Caenorhabditis elegans: one gene and its partners. The protein of the gene in region 4 interacts with the protein of the main gene of each other region in a pairwise test. Each region holds a gene or a part of one and is shown on either strand. Other genes may lie near its edges.

What was found.
Region 1: the proteins of rab-8 (region 4) and ehbp-1 interact in a two-hybrid assay, tested with the Caenorhabditis elegans proteins (one study listed by BioGRID).
Region 2: the proteins of rab-8 (region 4) and cnt-1 interact in a two-hybrid assay, tested with the Caenorhabditis elegans proteins (one study listed by BioGRID).
Region 3: the proteins of rab-8 (region 4) and tbc-2 interact in a two-hybrid assay, tested with the Caenorhabditis elegans proteins (one study listed by BioGRID).

The regions. Positions count from the first base shown.
Region 1 is NC_003283.11:9,549,055-9,556,539, reverse strand, and holds ehbp-1 (EH domain-binding protein 1), read right to left. Parts: upstream 5,897-7,485; coding exon 5,822-5,896; intron 5,780-5,821; coding exon 5,715-5,779; intron 5,543-5,714; coding exon 5,088-5,542; intron 5,037-5,087; coding exon 4,908-5,036; intron 4,588-4,907; coding exon 4,368-4,587; intron 4,319-4,367; coding exon 3,631-4,318; intron 3,181-3,630; coding exon 3,015-3,180; intron 2,915-3,014; coding exon 2,837-2,914; intron 2,759-2,836; coding exon 2,699-2,758; intron 2,606-2,698; coding exon 2,544-2,605; intron 1,922-2,543; coding exon 1,802-1,921; intron 1,688-1,801; coding exon 1,532-1,687; intron 1,484-1,531; coding exon 1,170-1,483; intron 913-1,169; coding exon 795-912; 3' UTR 508-794; downstream 1-507. Other genes in the region: nstp-10 (GDP-fucose transporter), read left to right, coding at 6,704-6,730.
Region 2 is NC_003280.10:12,085,859-12,090,830, reverse strand, and holds the start of cnt-1 (Truncated cnt-1), read left to right. Parts: upstream 1-1,962; 5' UTR 1,963-1,969; coding exon 1,970-2,041; intron 2,042-2,086; coding exon 2,087-2,220; intron 2,221-2,358; coding exon 2,359-2,535; intron 2,536-3,189; coding exon 3,190-3,328; intron 3,329-4,210; coding exon 4,211-4,300; intron 4,301-4,972. UniProt on the Caenorhabditis elegans protein: GTPase-activating protein for the ADP ribosylation factor family. Regulates endosome recycling downstream of rab-10 and upstream of arf-6.
Region 3 is NC_003280.10:5,823,347-5,829,402, reverse strand, and holds tbc-2 (PH domain-containing protein), read left to right. Parts: upstream 1-1,959; 5' UTR 1,960-1,976; coding exon 1,977-2,054; intron 2,055-2,237; coding exon 2,238-2,416; intron 2,417-2,460; coding exon 2,461-2,875; intron 2,876-2,919; coding exon 2,920-3,060; intron 3,061-3,107; coding exon 3,108-3,244; intron 3,245-3,293; coding exon 3,294-3,677; intron 3,678-3,724; coding exon 3,725-3,969; intron 3,970-4,020; coding exon 4,021-4,487; intron 4,488-4,535; coding exon 4,536-5,052; intron 5,053-5,103; coding exon 5,104-5,246; intron 5,247-5,296; coding exon 5,297-5,317; 3' UTR 5,318-5,547; downstream 5,548-6,056. Other genes in the region: gtap-1 (Dynein heavy chain 7, axonemal), read left to right, coding at 1-89, 447-612; ZK1248.11 (E3 SUMO-protein ligase NSE2), read left to right, coding at 817-1,062, 1,110-1,313, 1,516-1,671; ehs-1 (Eps15 (endocytosis protein) Homologous Sequence), read right to left, coding at 5,805-5,877, 5,925-6,056.
Region 4 is NC_003279.8:3,682,345-3,685,628, forward strand, and holds rab-8 (Ras-related protein Rab-8A), read right to left. Parts: upstream 1,743-3,284; 5' UTR 1,716-1,742; coding exon 1,686-1,715; intron 1,639-1,685; coding exon 1,484-1,638; intron 1,437-1,483; coding exon 1,376-1,436; intron 1,317-1,375; coding exon 927-1,316; 3' UTR 546-926; downstream 1-545. Other genes in the region: D1037.1 (Protein SON), read left to right, coding at 2,458-2,544, 2,620-2,903, 2,959-3,284.

The DNA of each region.
Region 1 (7,485 bases), on a different chromosome or scaffold from region 4:
AAACATTTTATTAATCGATTAAATATTAAAAGAAACACAAAAATGACAAAACAATACGAAAAACTGAATATCACTGTCGCAATTCGAACATAAGTGAAAATCGATCCCGTAAATCGACACCAGCACTACAGTAGTCATTTAAAAAGTTACTGTAGTTTTCGGTCAGATATTTTGCGCGTCAAATATGTTGCGCAATACGCCTTCTCAGGATTTAGTGTTCTCGTAATATGAGAGTACAATATTAAGTTTATTCTTCTCATCTATTTTTCTTCAAATTAATGCATACGAGTATTTTTTCCTGCAAAATGCGATTCATTTTTTAACCATATCACTCAATTTCTCAAATTTATTTGTTTTTTCTTTCAGTACATTCCCTCACAATTCGAGCTTGCTTTTTCCTATCCCACTTGTTTGATCTCTACGCTAAATATTTCCACGTGTAAAGTATTTTTCACCAGTCTTCCACACACTTTCCTCTTTTTTCGAATGAATTTTTGCTGAACATCATTTAAAACTCTGAATTGATTTATTGAAAGCTGAAAGCATTTGGATTTGTGTGCACCGAGAGAAAAGAAAACTGAATACAAAAATATACACATAGAGATGAAAAGATAGAGAAAAATTTGATGTTTTGATTAACTCCTAAAAATTTGCCAAAAAAACGGGAAAGAGTGAATTATGGAAAGGAGAAAAAATGATAGAAGATAACAAAGGGACACTGGGAGAAACTTTGTTTTCAGAAAGAGAAGAAGACCCGTAGTTTTAAATTGAGTAATAAATAACGTTGAAGCGTATTAACGGCGCCACCATTGAATAAGTCGCTTCGATGCTGAAACAGGCTGATCTATTCCACGAACAAAGCGAGTAGCCCTATCCAAAGTAAGGTTCTTCAAACGATCCGAATCTTCTTCGCTGAAAATTTCGAATGTTGTTTCATTAGTTTCACTGAAAGTAGTTTATTACGTGGTGTCAGAATGTCCCATTCGGTTTGATCTACGTAGATCTACAAAAAATTCGGAAGTTGAGACGAAGAGTTCTCAACTGATTTCGCATGGTTAAGAACGTGCTGACGGCACTTTCTTAGGCGAAAAATTCCAGCATTTTTTGTAGATCAAACCGTGATGGGACAGCCTGACACCACGTGGTTCAACAAAGCAATAAACACTTACATTTCGTCCTCAGTTGCAAATAACTTTTGAACCAAGTTACTTTTTGTTTTCATAGCATCACTATATTGTTCAATCAGTTTATCCGTTGCCGTCTTATTCTCATCAGAACGAGGGAAATCATCAGGAACTTCATTGATTTGTTTTCCCAATTGGTCAATTTCCGAAGTAACCTGACGAATTGTCTCAATGATATTATAGTATTCCTGTCGATGTACAAGAGTGTTCCGTTCATTTGTCAACTCAAGATATGATGCAGTCAACATTTCTTCTTCTGAACTTCCAACTTCTGTTTCACGGATCTTGTCTTGAATAACCTGAAAACAAAACAAACTGAATTAATCCTTTAATTCTCAGAATCTTACATCGGCTTGTGCTGTAATATCCGATATACGTTCGTCAATACGAACAAGCTCATTGGCGGTTCCTTCAACGTCATCGACGTCTTTTTCCCATTGGGAAGAGAACTTTTTGGTTGGTGTCGCCAGAGCGTCTTGCGAAGATGATTCGAAATCGTTTCCCTAAAAATAATAACATTTAGACGGTAACTTTCAATTTGCACCCATGATTAAATTTTATGTTGATTAAAATAGAAGCAAAAATCATTACATTACACTTTTTACAACATCACAAACCATGTATCCGTATTGTTTCGCCATCAACTGCAACGATTCTTTCAATTCTGCACTACGCATACTCCCATATCTCTTGACACGATCAAATGTAGAAGCTGATGAAGGAGTTGATGAATCGTTCTGAAATGTGAGCAAAACACTTGTTAGGCATACTGTACAATGCGGTGTATGATAAAAAAGAAAATATAGAACAGAGAAGAACTAAAGATAATATCGACGAAAGAAAAATTATGGTTAGATAGAAATGAGGATTGCTAGTGGTATTGACAGCTAATTGACAACATTCATATTTAAAGCTTAAAATAATACTCAAATGTTTAAAATTGAAAATCAGACAACTTATTACACTGACAAAATAGTTTGCGACAAAATATACGGTAGCTGGTCTTGACGCAAGGTTTCAAGCTCTCGTATTTGTCGATATTTCATCGATTCTTCATAGTTTTTTTTTAAATTTATGTGTGTTTTATTGTTTTATTTTAGTTTTTTATAAAAAAAAAAGTTTTATCGAAAAACTATGAAAAATCTATGAAAATACCTCACCAACGAGGATTTGAAGTAACTGTATCTTTAAAGGTACACATATTTTTCCTGAATCGGTGTTGCCAATAATGCTCTATTCGGGATTAAACTGTTAACTCGGCATTTCGCGTCTTCTTTCTCCCACCTTTTTGCCGGAAGGCGAAAAGGTGGGAGAAAGTAGGCACGAAATGCCGAGAATTTAAATATATTAATGACTGACCCGATTTCCATTTGTTCTGCCACGACCAATTGCTGGCACATGAGGAGTATCATTGGGATCGTCTGTAATTAAAACAAAATTAAGATGAAATTGTTCCTAATAATGCAATTGACATGTTAAAAATCACTGCACTATGAGGAAATAATAAAATGTACATTGTTTGCGGACGAGCGTCGGAGATGGATCACGTTTCTTGAACTTGTGTACATCGAGTTCTGAAAATAAATTCACTACATGCTTTGTCACAACACTAAAACAATTAAATCGGAGCATGATCTGAAAATGTTACAAACCAATACGACGAAGATCGGTATTTGATCCATCGATACGACGGAAAGTGGGATATGGTGATGATGAAGTAGAGGGGATTGCTGAAATGGGAACACACGGTAGAAATAATTAAAACAATCACAACAAAGGAGATTACTATAGAGAATCACGACAACTTTTGTGTTTTTAAAAACTTCTCACCCGTTGGATGCTGCTTTTCGTTCAGCATCCGTCTGACCTCTTCGCGTCTTCTCTCTTCATCACTCGCTTTCCGTGAATTTGGTGTTGCTGCAGGAGTTGTTGATTTTTCAATTAAATCACGTGCTCTTTGGCGTAGTTCATCTCGCTTTGAAGGTGATGCACGATTCTGAAAGTTGTAAAGATTTTCAAAAATAAGAATCTCGTAAAATTGGATATCTATTAGGAAAAAGAATTGATTAGACTATTTCGCTGGGAACAAATGTAATTGAGTTTTATAAGGGCGAGTATTTAATAAGTTTTTTAAGTTGTGTCGCAATTTTTATCAAGCTGTTATATGGTAGTAGGAAATGTTCAGTTATGTATAACCTTATAAATTGCATTAAAAAAATAAAATAAGAAAATATACCAAGAAATCTGACGATTGAAAGAACCTGTTTTTTTCCTATAATTTCAGTTATATTATACACACAAAGTATCTTAAAAATGGTAGAATTGAAGTGAAAAAAGATTTCAATAACTATTTTAAATAATTAGCATTATTCAATTCGAAATTCAACAAAAAAACAAAAACTAAATATTTAAAATTTTAAAATTTTTTTTTTCAATAAAAACTCACCGATGCACGAATTGCTCCAACTCCTGGAGTCACCATGGTTATGCTTACATTACTTCTCTCAAAGCGCATATTTGAAGTTTCAGCATCATCGTCATCAGCGTCAGTTGGTTGATTGAGAGCCGGATTGCGACTAGCCAACTGTGGTGTAACAGGAACTTCATCAGGAATGTGTCTATAATCCACAGCTTCTTCGAGATCTTTTTGATTTCGAATTTCTGTAATCATGGCAACAACTTTTTCTTCGGATTCATTAATTCCAAATGTTCTGGATATTCTGTGATCAGAAGCACTGGCTGGTGTAGATCCCTCGTCAAATCCTTCAAAGATTCGGCGAAGATGTTGAAGAAGAAATTCTATTTGTTTCCGATCAGGAGTCAGAAACATATCAACTGTTGGTACTTCTGTTATTCCTATCAAAGTAAGTGAATCGAGGGCTCTTTGAATATTCGAAATGCGTCCAGACATATTATTAGAGATATCCAGTGTTTCGTAATCTCCAATGAGATCCGGGCGATAAGAATGAAGAACTGCACACAAGGCCAATCCGTTGTTCCAAGATTTCATAAAATCATTAACTTTTACATGCGAATATCCGTTAGTAACTCTCTGACACCATGAAAGTAAAGTCTCTCCATCGATCGGTTGAGGGACAGCATCTCTAGATGGAGCTCTCGGAGAATTTGATCTTCTGAAATTGAAAAAAAATTATGATTGTGAGAAAAGTAACCAAACAATACCCTCTACTCATTGTTCCACTTTGAAGATAATATGGTGTAGCGATTGCTGTAACTGGAACATGCCGAGAATTGGAATCCACACGGAATTCTATTGTTGTAGACGCTTTTTCTTCTGTCGAAGCACGGCTTGACCGACTATGTCTGTTGGTTGCAATTGGCGCTGGAGCTGCTGGTTGTGACGTTTTTTCTTCTTCAGCTGATACTCTCCATTGGGGACGAACTGAAATACATTCTATAAGAGCCACGGGTGTCGGTTTTTCGATTTTTCGTTTTCCGAAAAATTGAAAAAAAAAATTTCGAGTATTTATTTTGGTTTTTTTAATCCTTTTTCTTCATCAACATAAACAAATTTTGATATATCATTTTCTGGATAATTTTCGAATTTTTTTTTCGATTTTCGATGTTCCTTGAAAAAAAAATGAAAAAAATCTACAAATTTTTTGATGACCACACACGAATTTAGGCTATATGACTTTTTTCCATGAAAATATTCTAGCCAAAAATTCTAACGATTAGGTTTAAAAAACGATTTCTAATTACCTTTTGCAGGGTTTTCATTCTCTCCGGAAGGTTTTCGGTGTGCTGGAACAATAGGCGGAGCGATTTCCTTTTCCTCTTTGATCCATTCCATCATTTTTGTAGCTGTCGTGTCGATTTGTTGTCTTGCAGCTTAAAAAAACAAATTATGTGAAATAAACTGTATTTTTTCAATCAAAATACCTGCTGCTCTGGAATCATTTGCACTCGCATCAACTTCATCTGTTACTGGAACTTTTTCAACAAAAGAGGCTGCAGCTGACGAAGTAATACTAACATCATCTGCATTTACTTCCGAAATAAGAGAACTTCCAAGAAGAATAATCAGGGAACACAATTTCAAATGAGGCGTCAATGGACGGAGCTTGAGCTTCAGTTCACTTTTATGATCGGGTAGATCCAGAATAAATAAGCGAACATTGAGTGGCACTGCTGCAATTGCTTTTCTTTTTCCTTTAGCAGTTACTTCTTCAACAACAATCGTCCATTCTTTATCTTCATATTCATCACTTGCAATACGATATAATGTTGTAAGAATATCTATATTCTCTGAAAATTGCTCAGGCCACATAATCAAACATTTGTTAGCGTCCGAACATTCTTCCCATTTTCGTTCCTTTGATGATACTTTTCGTCGTCTGTAAAAATTGTATGATAAAGGTTTCATGAACAATTTTTTATTTATTTTCGATTCGTATTATTTTCTTGTGAATATTTTTCTTTTTTTTTCAAATTTCCATAATGATCATGATGCATTGTGTCTATTTTCTGATTGACATTTATTATTCTTTGATAAGAAAATGTATTCACCTATGAACGAAAGAAACTGCAAGGTTTTCTGGTTTCCATTGTTCGTCGGTGTAGAGATGTAATTCCTAAAATAATAAACAATTGAGATAAAAGTATCAAGAACGAACCTGAAGAGTAACTGTAAATCTAAATTTGGCAGCTTTCTTATTGGATCTCCGAAGTCGACGAAGAATACCCGCCATCTGCAATTTATATGTTAAAACAATGGTAATCAGGTGCGTAATGCGAAGAATTTCTTTTCGATTTGTCGTACGGAAATGGATATTTGAGGAGATGAGAAGAAAGGAAAGGCGGCGGAAACCGAGAGGAATGGGCGCAGCCGTCTTCCTCCTCCTCATTCGACAACGGCGGCGAGAAGATTTGATAAAATGAGCGAGAGGCGATAGACTAGAAGGAAAAGAGAGTGACAGAGGTAAAAAGAAAAGAGCATTTGGAGCTCCAAAGAGAAGGTCTGAAATATGTTATTTTATCCAGTGATTCACAAGAATTTGTATTATTTTAAAGAAAATGAACAATAGAAATTTAGTAAAACTGAAAGGGAGAGGAGAGAATAACAAAAACAATCTGACAGTAGAGCATCGTGTAATGTTACTAGATCGAGTTGGATTGGTCACTTGAGACCGCCGATACAAAGATTTATGGCCACTTCTTGCCATCTCTCACGCTCTCGGTAGGTTTTCGATTTAGCATTTAGTTACAAGTGCTACTTTTCGAGTGTTCGTCGTTATGTATCAGTCAGCTGCCAGCGCCCGTTACACTAACTCTGCTCAGCGCGCCGTCGAAGTTCAAGTGTTCTCCCATAAACAAAAAATGGCAGTCAGAATAAATAAGTTAATTTTTATTCTGAAAACACCATTAAGTAACGTTTTCAGAAAACATGAGGAGCTATCGAAAATGCGATATTTAATAAACGTGAGGAACATAAATGGTTTGATCGAGAACTATATGCATAACCACAGTGATTGTTTGACAAAAATTAATTTAATACGATGAAACTGCATGAAGAAAACAACAAAGTAGATATTTATTGCAACAATATATTGAAAAACCGTTTTCAAAAATTGGTCTAAAAAACACGGCCCGAGAAGTGGTATTTTTTTATGATGCATATAAAAAATTGGAGAGGTCTACACTCCAATTATCAGTAGAGCGCATTTGCATGGATGTACCACTTGCCGGGCCGTGAAAAACGTTTACGTCTTTTTGCGTCTGCATTCACAGTCACGCAAAAACGCAGACACGTTACTGTAAATAGAATATTGTGTAATTCGACGTGGCCGTGTTTGCACATTGTTATTCTGTTTGAAAACATTTTTTTTCCGAAATAATTTTTGCAGAGGGGTTTTTCTTTTATTTCTTTTATTTCCTTGGTAATTCCCTCCATAAATGCGTTTGTATTCTCACAAATTAAAAAATTAAATTATATTTTTAAAAAAGTTAAAAGCCGATTTCGATATTGATTATTTCTTAAGCAGGTAAAGAATTACTCACGATATTGTTAATTTTATTGTGAACAAACTACTTTTTCACCTTTGTTAAACTTTTACAAATGTCTCAATTAATTATAAATAATTTTTATACGAATTCAAACTCTTTAAAACCTTAGAAAGCTGAATAATCGAGCAGAAACTGCGGCAGCAATGCCCGCAATTAACTCGACAACAATGGCCTAGTTGTCGGGTGTTGCCTGTTTCTCGTCCTCTTCCATTTCTACGTTTTCCACGTTCTATGTTTGTCCTGCCTCCCGCCTTAACTACCATTCATAAACGTT
Region 2 (4,972 bases), on a different chromosome or scaffold from region 4:
ACTGCAATTCCGGCAATTTACCAGTTTGCCGATTTGCCGGAAATTTCAATTCTGGCAATTTGCTGGTTTGCTGAATTGCCTAAAATCTCAATTCCGGCTGTTTGTCATTTTGCCCATTTGCCGAAAACTGCAATTCCGGCAAGTTGCCTGGTTTGCCGATTTGCCGGAAATTTCAATTCCGGCTGTTTGTCATTTTGCCGATTTGCAGGAAGTTTCAATTCTGGCAATTTGCCAATTTGTCGAAAACTTTCAATTCCGACAAGCTTGTCGATTATCCAGAAATTTCAATTCCGGAAATTTGTCGATTATCCAGAAATTTCAATTCCGGCAATTTGCCGATTTGCCGATTCGCCGGAAAATTCAATTCCGGTAATGTGCCGGTTTGCTGATTTGCCGATTAATTTTTGAGCTTTTTTGCAATGTTTCCAAGTCAAATAAAACATATTTTCAGATAAAAAAATTTTTTTATTTTATCACTAAATTTTGATGAAAAAAGTATTTTTTGTTGGATAATCACGTGGTGCCAGGCTGTCCCAACACGGTTTGATCTACAAAATTGCGGGAACTTTTCCCGCAAAAAATGTGACGTCAGCACGCTCTTAACCTTGCGAAGTCAGTTGAGAAGTCTGCGTTTCAACTCCCGCATTTTTTGTAGATCTGCGTAGATCAAACCGAAATAAGACTCTGGTACCACGTGTACATATGTGTAATGTTGTTGCATTGCAAAATTCCAATTTCCCCGTAACTCTTTCTCGTCTGCCTAGAAAAGCAAAGTAAGAGAATATTAAATTAGTTGCGCTCTCGGTGCCTCCCCTTCTCCTCCTCTCACCCAATTTCATTCTCAAGCTCTCTCCACAAAAAAAGAGTATTGAAAATCAAGAGAGTTCCTAGAGAAACAAGCAGTGAATGTTTATATACGACTGTCCTTTTTCTCCAAAAATTTCGTCCTTTTCTTCTTCCCCCCACAAACACAATGACCTCCGTCCGAAAAGTTGTCGCGATGTTCTTCTCCCGCCGTCTAACTGCCTGCGTCTCTTCTCTATTTCTCTCCCTCGTTTTCCTGTTCATCACCATCATCATCAGCGGCAGCCGTAGCGGCAAGAGAGAAGAAGAACCGGCTGTTTTTCTGTTTTTTTTTTCTGTTCTGAGGCTTTTGTTACGTGTCTTGGAATTTTTCTCTTTTTCCTTTATTGTGCGAGTGATATGGACTTTTGGTTTTCTTTAAAGGCGCATACGGAAGTTTAAGTTGTTGAAAAAAACATTTGAAAATGTTTTTTTTTTTAATTTCAAAAGCCACGTGGCATATTTACAGCCACTTATCAAAAAAAAAGTTTTTTTACCCAAAAATTGTTGGTCGTTTTTATAGGATTTTTTTTGCGAAATTTTGGAAATAAAATTAATTTTAAAATTTAAACTTAAAACTTTTATTTTAACATTGGGAAAATTTTGTTATTTTCCATAAGTTTCGATAATTTTTGTACAGAAAAATGGTGATAAAATTAGTTTTTCTTCTAAAAATCGGACTTTTCAGACTTTTTTGAATTTTTTTCAAGTGAAAAATTTAAGCAATTTTTTTAAAATCAAGACTGTTTTCAGTTTATTTTTCTATTTTTAGCTATTAAAAATGAAAATTTTCAAGAGAAAAATGTTTTTTTACCATTTTTTCGACATTTTTTCTATTAAAATTGCGTTTTTAAAAACCAAATTAATTAATTGATAAACATGTGCTGTCAATTTCAATGCCAAGTACGCAAACACCACAGCTGCACAGTACCAGATCTACCGTACTCTTCAATTAATTAATTGAAGAGTACGGTAGATCTTGTTCTGTGCACCTGTGGTGTTTGCATACTTGGCATTGAAATTGACGACGCAATATTATCAATTAATTATTTTTGATTATTTTTTCTCAATTTTCAGCCGAAAAAACTCAATTTCTTCGTATAAAATCGATAAATTTCCAGATTTTATGACAGTATCAAACAATGGAATGGCGATGCCGTCTGTTCCGCCAAAAATCGACTGCTCCGAGGCAATTCAGGTAGAAATTCCCTCAAAATACACCAAAAACCTAAAATTTTTGCAGGATTCTCCAAAATTCCGCGCAACAGTCGCTCAACATGCAATGTATTTTAATCGATTAGAGAATCGGCTCAACGAAATGCTCCGACACATCACTGCAATGATTGATTTCAGCAAAAATTATACGAACACGTTTTAGTACGTGAAAAAAATTCATTTTTGGGGTCTCGAAACGATTAAGCTTTCAGATTACTGTATTTTAAAGGCACATAGCGAAAAATAATCGTTTCAAAACCAAAAATTCAAATTTTCTCAAAAAATCCCCGTTTTTTCCAGCAAATTAACGGTTTCGGTGAATCAATTATGCGATGAAAGCTTCTCCGGCAATCCATTGGCGTCTACAACATTCCAAGGATTATCAGAAGCCTATGCACACACTGTTAACCTATTTCGCACGTATTTCGACCATTCAAATGTGGTCACTTTCACGAAACTGTCGAATTTCATTAAAATGTGAGATTTCCGGAGTTTTTTTTGGCGAAAAATCATAAAAATCGATAAATTCTGAGTTAAAAAGGCCGAAAATTACAAAATAACGAGTTTAAGCGAATTTAAATCAAAATTTCGTTTTACTTTAAATTTAGAGGTGAAAAATTCAAATTTCCCGCTGATTTACTAGATTATTCATTCTAGAGGTACAGAAAATTGACAAATTTGAACAATCGAAAATTTTAATTTTTTTTGAACTAAAGGTATTTGGATTGAGCTAAAAATTTTAAAAAAATTTTTGAGCCAGAAAACTTCAAAAAAATTTCTATATTGGAAAAAATTAATTAATTAATTAATTAAATAAATTAAAATTCCTGTAAAAAAATTTGCAAAAAAATAGGCAAAACTCGATTTTTTCTCGGGTTTTTTGGTAATTTTTCAAAAAAAAAATCTTTTTTGAAAAGTTGAATTTCCCGCCAAATTAAAAAAAAAATCAATTTTACGTATAAAACAATATAAGGCAATTTTTTTCGAAAAATAATAAATTTCCAGCCAAAATTCAAGTGTTTTTAACCAAAAATCGCATAATTCACAACAGAAAATTGAAAATTCAATTAAAAATTAGATTTTTCGAAATAAAAAAAATTCAAAAATGTTTCCTCTAAAATCTAATTTAAGTGAGCTCACAAAAGTGGCAGAATCCCGTGCACATTTTGAGAATATGTCCCAATCAATGGATGATGCATTAGTCAAAAATGCGAGTATTTCAAGGCAAAAGCCTGCAGATGCGACAGAAGGGCGAAATGCACTTACTGCGGTGAGTTTTTTGAATTTTCAACGAAAAATATTCGAAATTCTCGATAAAAAACCAAAAAAAAATTCATCCAAATTTTTGAAAAAAATTTCTTTCTAAAAATAGGTATTGTACTGAAATTTTTTTTTACAAATTAAAAAACAGATATCTTTTTTTCGCCAAAAAAATTACTTAGTGATTTTTTTTTGTAAATTTTTAAAATTTTTTCTTCGAGAAATATAAAAATCGTAAATTAATTTTTGCAACAAAAATTATTGATTCATCAAAAAAATGTTAACTTTACTGAAATTTTTTTTTTAAATTTAATTTTTCGAAAAACTAAAAAAAACAGAGAAAAAAACCTAATTCAAAATCGACTTTCTTGAAAAATGCCCATTTTTACTGAAAAGAAATTTAAAAACATTTCTTTTGTAATTTTTTAAAGATTTATATTTTTCGAGAAATATAAAAATCGTTAAAGCGAACAATCAATTTTTTGAAAAAAGAAATATTGATTTATCAAAAAAAGCCGATTTTACAGTAAAAAAAATTCCAAATATATTATCTTCTTTTTTATTTTTTTCAAGATTATTTTATTTTTCGAGAAATTGTTAAAATAAATAATTGATTAATTTTTGGATAAAAATTTAATAATGTTACTGAAAAAAAAAGAATTTTCTGAAAAAAAAAGTCTATTTTTTAAACAATAAATCGAAAAATTTAAAAATGTTCTTAACAAAATCAAAATTTCTGGTTATATAAAACATTCAATTTTGTCGTTTTTTTTTTTGCTTCACCTTAAATAGTTTCTCACAAAGCGTCTCAATTGCAAGAAAAACCACTCAAAAACCCTTAAACAAATAAAAACATTTTTTTTTTCAAACCAAGAAACCCGCTCTTTTCCAGGTCGGCACTTGCTTCGCACACACCACACTCGACTACGTGGCAAATATTAATATTGCACATGCACACAAGGACCATATGATTCTCGATGCGGTTCGTTTTGAATTTTGAAAATTGTTGGTTAAAAAAATTAGAAATTCCCTCGGCTAATGTGAGAGTTATCACATAAAATAACGGAAACTTTTTTTTTCCAAAAATTTGAAAAAAATTCAAAATATTTTATTTTTAGCTGTAAGAGTTTTAGAAAGATCAATTTCTTGATTTTTTGCTCAAAAATTTAAGAATTTATAAATTTTTTTGTAGCCGTTTAACATTTTACTTTTGCCAAAAAAAAACATTAAAATAAAATTTTTAAAAAAATTTTAACTAAAAATTCAAAATATTTTATTTTAAACTGTAATGCATTAGAACTTTGTTAAAAAATTTGTTTTTGAATTTTTAAACTCAAAAACTTGAGAGTTTTGAAATTTTAAATTTTGCGAAAAAGCCCGAAATAAATTTTTTTAAAAGTTTTTTGACTCAAAAATTACAAAATTTCTCAATTTTTAGCAGTTTCGCATTATAATTTTTCACTAAAAATTTCAAAAAAACTTTTTTCCACTGTAGTTATAGTTTTGGTAAAAAAAAATCAAAAATAATTTTTTTCCCGTTTTTTACTCAAAAATTAAAAAAAAACATCTCAATATTAGCCATTTTCCTTTGAATTTTTCTTATTAAAATATTCAAAAACTTCCAACTTTTAGCCGTTTAGCATTCTAAATTTGG
Region 3 (6,056 bases), on a different chromosome or scaffold from region 4:
TCAGATCTTGTTGTACGCATTGGAATCAGACGATTGGTTCATGAAAATATGGATATGTTTATGACTATGACAGATGAGATACGGTTACGGTAAGTTATACAATTATTAAATGCAAACATTTAAATTAATATTTTGGCACTTTCAATGCCATTGGATTTAAATTTCAACTTTCAGATCAGATCAAAAAGTTTTTCCACCGAAAACACAAAAAAAGCAACAAAAAACCAAAACTAAGAATTATTAAGTTTGAAACTTCATTTTGAAAATCTAAAACAAGTTGACCAAAATTGTACTTTCTTTTAAAATTTCGACTTTAATTTTTTTCTACTCAAAATTGTTTTGTGAAGCATAATTTTTCGTATTTTTTTCCAAAAAAAAAAACATTTACAGCCATGACTGCAGCTTTTTTGATTGAGCTTTTTAAAATGAAAAATTACTATTTTCAGATCAGTCTCCAACACGTTGGATCTTGACTATTTGGATCGATGTGAAACAAGTGTTCGAATTACTTTACAAAAGCTGCTTTCTCTACACGAAGCTTGGGGAAACGACAAAGATTCCATATTTTTCCATCTTTCTGTCCGAATAGGAAAATTGAATATGGGTACCTAATCACTTCTTATTCACTGCCTGGTTTTTATCGCCTTATGTTCAAAATTTTCATGCATAATCACTTTCTGAAAATATGGGTTAATTCAATAAAAAATTTTAAATTTTAAATGTTCATTTGTAGGCTAATGTTATTCGTATATAACGATTTTTGAATTATCTTTTTTTGTTATTTAGAAGTTCAATAAGTTGTGAAATCCCTTCCAGATGTCTACCCAGCTCGCCACTAGTATGGAAATTATTCGAAAAAGTCTGAGAAAGGCTGCTGAGGATGTTCTTCATATCAATTCAAAAAATGCTATTTCAAATGAAGTAGATTCTGAAGAATTCAAAGAAACATTGATGAAAGATGCAATGAAGTTGATGGAATTGGAGACTGAAGGTGCTCAAATGCAACACATTTTTGAAGCGTTGCATAATGACCTGAAAGATGGTTCAGACGAGGTTCCGAATGTACGTTGCAGATATTTAAACAAATTATATTAATAATAATTTTGCAGGAAAAAGCATTGGAGGAGTTATACGAGAAGGCGAAAAAAACCCATAAAAATGTGAAAGGCGAGCGACAGTACTTCAAAGACATTATCAAATCTATAAGGGATGAAAGTAAAAACGATGAAAATGAAATGGAAGTGATGCAAGTTCAACATAGTAGAAAGGATCCAATTTCGAAGAAAGATATTGTCAATCCAGTTATCAGTAAGGTAAGTTTTTAACATTTTTTCTCTATTTTTCAACATTTCATCCCCGTCTTGTCATTCGGGTTGTGCAAATATATCATCTGCAATTTATGACTCATTATTTTTTGATTGACCATCCTTGTTCGTTTATTTATCTTTCGAAACATTTCATCACCACCAAATTGCAACAAAAGTTTTATTTTATATCAATAAATCAATATTCCAGAACTGTGGACACGTCTACGATAGGGATTCAATTCATGAGTTTGCTGGCAAAAAGCGAGTTATCAAGTGTGCAATGCAAGGATGCTCTGAAACTATCAACATCGGCCAACTCGCCGATTATCCCGATTACTGGACGAATATTAAACAGCAACAATAAATTATTTGATGACTAATTTTAGTCATCTCTTAATCATTTCATATTGATCTCTTACTCTATTTCATTTTCACTTCACTTCTCAATACCTCTTCCTGCATTTCACTTCTTTTTTTCTCATTTTGTTTCATAAAAATTCGATACGTTCTCTCCCTCTCCGTTCGCCACCTTCCCTCGCCTGGTGGTCGAATAAAAAACCAGTTTGTCCAGTGCGATGAGTCGTTGAACATACGATACAAATACTACTTTTGTTATTCTTTCTAAATCTCTCATATCTATTCCTACTTTCAGAACTTCAGATAACGCGGATGTCTGCGGCGCCGGGGACAATCAGCCCACCAGCTCGCGAACTAAAAACTTCGGCAATCTGTGGATACTTGCATCGGGTACGGTAGTTTGGCCTAAATATATTATTTTCGGAAAAATTTCCAGAAAATTTAAAGATTTATTTTAAAATGTCCAGAAAATTTTAAAATGACATTACTATTTTAAATTTGATCCCGAAGAACTTTTAAAAACATTAAATGCCAATCTTAGGAATCAACAAAAATGATATCCACTGTTTCCAGATCGAAGTTCGTTCGATCGGTCTGATAACACGCCGTCGCTATTGGTTCGCACTCTGTGACTCAACTCCATATCTTTACTGGTATAAAGATTCAGATGACATAAAATGTATCGGAAGAGTCTCATTGAGTGGCGCAGCATTCACTTATGATCCAAGAGAAAAAGGCCGTTTTGAAATTCAGTGAGTTTAATATAATTAATTCGTTAAAAATCGACTTATTTCAGCTCTAACAATGAAGTAATTGCGCTGGAATGTAGTTCAGACAAGCAACGCAATGAATGGATGAAAGCTCTTCAAAGTACACGGAAAAGAAGCTGGAAGGCAACGAAATCAAAATCTGATTCAAGTCTAGATATTTCGTCTTTAACGGGAAGAAATTCGTCTTCGGTCCTCGAAGAATGCTCGTCTCCTTCTCCAGTACCACCACCAAGAAGTCCAAAACCAAAGAAACGAACACAATTCCTAACTGAAGAAGAAACAGACGCTGAAACATCTTCTGATGTTCCTCACTCATCTGAGGAAACTGCCGAAGTGGTTGAAGACACAGACAACACGAAAATACCAGCTGAAGGATCTGCAACGGAATGGTATTTGAATCCAAATGGACAGCTGAATGAACGATCTCTACAGATGCCAAAGGTAAGTGAACATACAACTTGAAAACTTTCAAATTATACTTTCAGACAATCGAAAGCCCAGAAACTGTATTAAAGCGACTAGCTGATCAAAGTATAGAAGCTCCTTTTCGAGCTATTCGAAGAAATCTTTCGACTTGGAGCAGAAGTCGGCAAAATACGTCCGATGAACCAGTTGTTGGAAGTAGAGTATGTTCAAATAGTGATCAAACATTCACTATGAGTAAAATTTTCAGAAAGGTACAGTATCTTCTGTTGATCTAACTCCTGAAGAGAAAGTTATTGAATTGTCTGATAAAGTTTCAAGTCTGGAGGAAGTTGTCGATTCGCTGAGAGCTGCTCTTCTACTAGCTCAAAGAAATAATGAAGCACTGTGAGTTTTATTATTTAATTAAAATCATAATAAATTGTTGAAATTTTAGTCAGAAAATCGAGGATATGGGAGATAATAAGGAGGAAATGCGAGAGTATATACTGGAAAAGGAGCGACAAGTCACCGAATTACATATTTCGAATAGCATGAATGCTCGACGAGTTCGTGATCTTGAAGATCAAAATGTAAGGCTTGAGGATACGATCAATGATTTGCAACAATCAGTAGAAGCTTTCCGAGAATCATTACGAACAAAAGAAGAGCTTATTCTTCGAATGTGTGAAGAAGAAAATCGAGAAGACTTACTAGGATCGATATCTGAAAGAAGCTCGAATATTCCTGCAGACGCAAATGGACTTGTATCGGATGTTGAGGTTCCTGAAGGCATTCTTGTCGATGTATCATCAGTTGATTGTGAAGAAGCTACCAGGAAGTACGAATTTATTTTTACAATTTAAATTTTAAAGTATTTTATTTTAGGGTTCTAGACGAAGAAAATGTTCGTGATATTGGAGAACTTCAAGATCTCGTAGAAGGATACCGTACCCAGAATCAGTTTTTGAATGCGGAAATAGTCCAATTGCATGCTATCACTCAATCTCTGGAAGATCGAGAGAAGAAGCTGATTCGTCAAAATTTCGACCTCGAAGCCTGCTATTACCAATTAAAAAGCCGTTATTTGATGGTTCTAAACCATTTTAAGTCTCCGACAAAACCAGGAAAAAGTGAGTTTTTAAACAATTTTCTGTTATAATATAATCACTTTTGCTCTACAGTAATGGAACCTGGTGTGTTGAAAGAATTACTCGAAGAGTCGGCAAGAACACCTCGAGAATCTCAGCAAAACCTCACGGATCAGTTGGGATTCTATAAAAAGGATGATTTTTCTGAAAGCGATGATCTTTTGGATACTGCCACGTTTTACATGAAAAAAGCGGGAGACGTAGTGGAAGCAACGAAATTGGAACAATCTGAAGAATACATGAAATGGTTACAATCGTGGGATGCGTTCCTTGTCAACAATACAGTATCCCGGCAGACTGCAATCATGTCTTCACCTGATCTAAAAACTCTTATTCGAACTGGAGTACCACCTGCCTACAGAGGTCGTGTATGGAAGATAATTGTGACACATTGGGTGAAGGATAAGCAAGCAGAATTGGGTAATGGATACTATCAAAGTATGCTCAGAAAGGCTGGAACAAAGAAGCAGGATGGAAGTTACGATGCAGCCATCAAACAGGTATATTTATATTATTCTAAATTCGAGTTTCTCATATTATTTTTTCAGATTGATCTTGACCTCGCTCGAACTCTGCCCACGAATAAACTTTTCGACGAGCCAGATTCTGCTAACATAGAAAAACTACGAAACGTACTCTACGCCTTCCGATACCATAACTCTCACGTCGGCTACTGCCAAGGACTCAATCGTCTTGCTGCAATTGCTCTGTTAAACCTGGATGAGCAGGATTCGTTCTGGTTCCTTGTAGCATGTGTGGAACATCTCCAACCTGAAGGATATTACACTAGCTCACTGATCGGAGCGGTTGCCGATCAGAAAGTTCTCCGCGATCTTGTAGCAGAAAAGCTTCCAAAATTGGCTGCACATTTGAGAGCTCTTGAAGTTGATCTTTCACTTTTCGCGCTCAGTTGGTTCCTGACGTGTTTTGTAGATGTACTCCCGCATTCTATTTATCTGACTATATTCGATGCATTCCTCTATGAAGGAAATAAGGTTCTTTTTCGATTCGCACTGGCACTTTTCAAAATATGCGAACCTCACGTTCTTCAATGTAAAACTATTGGTTTGTGACTTACAACTTTAAATTTATTAGTTTTTTAACAAGAATTTTCAGGCACAGTTCATCAATGTCTCAGCAAAGCTCAAGAACATATCATTGACTTCAAGTCGCTAGCTCAAGTGGCATTCAACGAACTGAATCCGTTCCCTCAGAAGACTATAGAAACTAAACGACAACTCTATTTGACACAATTGAAGGTAAACAGTAATATATAAATAAATTCTAATATAGCGATTATTATTTTCAGGATACTGGCCACTGTATGTAAATCCGACACGAACATTCTTGTACATCTAATCTGTATTTTCTTTCGATTTCTAGCATAATTATGTCTTCTTCACACAACTTTTTCACTATTATTTTCAAACTTCTGTGATTCTCCTTTTTCCTTATCAATTTCTTTTACGGTTTACTTCCCCCCCTTCAACCCGTTTACTTGTGCTCCGTTTTTACACATGAGACTGAAAATATCAAATACGCAACATAAAATTAATCTGCAAATCATTTACTATATATTATAACTCATAATTTACATAATAATCATGCATATTCATATTCTACAGTATATAACATTATTGCTCTGATTTCATAACCTAGAAAAGTGACAATTCAAGTGGGAAAGTGCAAAAAAACTAATCTTAAAAATGTGCATCAATAAATTATGTCGATGACTTGGCACAGGTAAACATTTGGGCAAAGTAAAACAATTTGACTGGCGTTGGGGCTTATAGTGGGTAAGGTATAATTATTAAAAATCAATTGAAAGCCGATCCAAAGTCCGCAAAATCAGCGAATCCAGCCGGTTGAGTTGATTGTCCTTGTGATGGGCTGAAATTATTTAGACTTTAAATAAATTGATACTCACTAAGACTTACGCAAAAGGATCATTGACAGGTGTTTCGCGAGCAGATTTTGGAGGAGCTGGGCGAGGTGGAGCAGGTTTTGCGGGAGCCGATTGTGCGAAGCCAGAATCCGATGGGAAGCCTCCTTGAGCAAATGGATCAGTT
Region 4 (3,284 bases):
TTAATTCTGAGAATGCGTATTGCGCAACATATTTGACGCGCAAAATATCTCGTAGCGAAAACTACAGTAATTCTTTAAATGACTACTGTAGGTCGATTTACGGGCTCTATTTTCGAAACAAATTTTTGTTCGAATTGTGACAACGATATTCAATTTTCTTTAGTTTTTTTAAACGAAAAATTGGAGGAAAATCGAATATTGTTGTCACAATTTAAAAAAAAATCGTATCGAAAGACCAGCCCGTAAATCGACACTTCAGAAGGCATTTAAATAATTACTGTAGTTTTCGCTACGAGATATTTTGCGCGCCAGATATGCTGTGCAATACGCATTCTCAGAACTTAGCGTCTCCGTAATACTTGCAACGTTTTTCGTGTTTAACTATTCAAAATTGTGGTACTTTCTACTATTCAATGTCGCTGGTATATGAATCTGACTCTGCAAAATAGAAGCTCAGTAAAAAACTTCTAGAAAAAATTAATTTTAATTTGCATGACCGACAAAACCCCAATATTCGATCAAAATTCAGAAAATTCAAAAAACTTGGGAAAACATGCAATTTGGTTCATACATTCGCGAAAAAAATAAATCTGAAATCCTGAAAAGAAATCTCATCAGAATGCTGGGTGTAGGGGGGTGAATTGAATATGCGAGAGAGAGCGGACACAGAGAAATAGACGGGACGAAAATGGTAAAAACAAAGCAAGTGTTGGTTATTATGGTCAGAAGAGAAGAGAGAAGAAAAAAGGTTATTTTTAGAATTATAACCGTACTGCATACAAAAATGTGCGAAGGAGGAGTTTTTGGAACAGAAAATTCAAACGGAAAGAAAATATGAAAAGAGATATGGTACACTATTGAAGTTGAATTGAATTGAATCACAATCAACTTCGAAAAGGGCAGAACATGGCGAGAGAGCAATAAATTTAAAGCAAATTGCAGCTCCAGTTGCTGAAGAAGCTCTTCTTCTGTGTCCCCGATCCACCGACGTTCACACGACCCGTATTCGAAACTGATCCACCGGCACGCATCTCGTTCTGCTCCATCTTGCTCTTGATATCACGAGCCAGTGTGAAGAAAGCTTCATCAATATTCAGATTGGCCTTCGCCGACGTTTCCAGGAATTTCGTGCCGTACTCGATTGCGAGCTGCTCTCCACGGTCCCGCGACACTTCACGGCGTTCTTCAATATCACATTTGTTGCCGATGATCATCCTCTCGACATCCGAAGCCGCATGCTCTTCTATATTGCGAATCCAGTTTTTGATGTTTTCAAATGATCGCTCGTTGGTGATATCGTACACCAGAATGATTCCCTGAAAGATAAATTAATTAAAATTTGAAATTTTGTGAAATAAATTTTGATAAAACATGCCATAGCACCGCGGTAATAAGCCGTTGTGATAGTTCTGAATCTCTCCTGCCCGGCTGTGTCCCTGAAAAAAAATATTTATAAAATCGGATTTAATAAAAACTAGCTCACCAAATTTGAAGTTTGATTTTCTTCCCATCGAGCTCAATCGTACGGATTTTGAAGTCGATTCCAATTGTTGAAATGAACGAGTTATTGAACGAATCATCTGAGAACCGGAACAGTACGCACGTCTTGCCGACTCCACTGTCTCCAATAAGCAAGAGCTGTAAAACGATGTTTTCTTGACATCTTGGCATGCAAAAGTTCTCACCTTAAACAAGTAGTCGTAAGTTTTTGCCATTTTATTGGAGTGAGTGAGAGAAAAGCTCTGAAAATAGGAAAACTATAGAAAAGTAACGCGAAATCGAAGAAAAACAATTAAAATAAAGTGAGATTAAAGGTGCATTGAGTTTTTGACACTGATGGGTCCCGGAGCGAAAAGTACAAAAGCCTTTCATTTTTTTAAATTGTTTAAAAACTGTAATTTTATTTGTTTTGTTTTACTGTTTTTTAAATTTTCTTTTCAATTTTAATCGAAAGTTAAAAGTAAATGAGACTTTTAAATTGAATTTTCCAAGTTTCATGACCGCAAAAAATGAAAAAAAAAAAGAAATGAACAGATGTCACGCTGTGTGTGTGTGCTCAGTTGGTTTGAGGATAGCTGGTCAATATTGAAGGGTCATGTGAAGACGTATGTAATTAGTAATTCCCACACAATGTCCGCAAAGAAAGCGACAAATGAGTGTTGAGGAATAAAATTTGGAGGAAATTTCGCAATAAAAAGATTTGTTTTCACTGAGGGAATGAATCGATTAGACAGCTCACAAAGACATCGTGGTCACGGGCCTTTTTCAAAAATAAACTATTGGGAGGGGGCGAGGTGGTGGTATCGGTGCAGCAGGAAAACAAAACGCGCAGCGGCCACGGCCATGACGATGTAAAAACGTAAAAACGGAGCGTCGTTTGTATCCTCTTGTTTTGCAATTTGAAAAACTTTTTTTTAAACAAAAAATCACCTTTTTTCAGGTCAAAAAGTTCCAAGAATGGTCGATGGCGAGGGAATTACCCCGAAAACTTGCAGTGAAGACATCATTAAAGATCTTTTAAATGATGTGAAATCGTCGGAAAAAGTAAATTAATTTAAATTGTACTGGAAAATTTACAAATCGAATTATATAATTATAATTAATTATCATTATTTTCAGCCATTCTCAGTGGATAAACTAGCCGGATGCGATCAGACAGATTTTGTTGGGAAAAGGCCGAAGAAGCATCACAGGCACAAGTCGAAGAAAAGCAAGAAAGTTCGAAGAAGATCCAAAACTTGGTCTAGTTCAAGAAGTCGAAGCCGGAGCCGGAGCAGAAGCCGGGGGCGTAGTCAGGAGAGGAGAAGAAGCAGAAAGAGTAGGAAAAGCAGAAGCAGGAGCCGTTTAAAGCATAGGGAAGAAAAAATTGAGAAGAAAAATCTCGAAAAAGCGCCAAAAAATGAGTAAGTTCGAAAATAAATTCGAAATAAGTATTTAAACTAATAAAAATTACTACAGATTAATCCCGCAAGCGCCAAGTACCGAAAATGGCAAACCGAAAGAATTTAAGGAGCCGCCAAGGAAAGATGAGGCCGATGATCTACCGCTTGGCGCGGATTTCAGCACCCCTTTAGTGAAAAAAGAGACAAAGCTGGCTATTAGCATCACTACAGTTCTGCCAAAAGCCGAGAATAAGAAAGAAGTTGAGGATGGAGAAATAGAAGAAATTGCATATGGAGATGGAGATTTTAAAGAACCAGAAGGAATCGAAAAGAATTTGGAGAATAAAAATATATGTGAAAATGGAAATCTGGATAATTCTGAAAATGAAAAAAGTAAGGAGA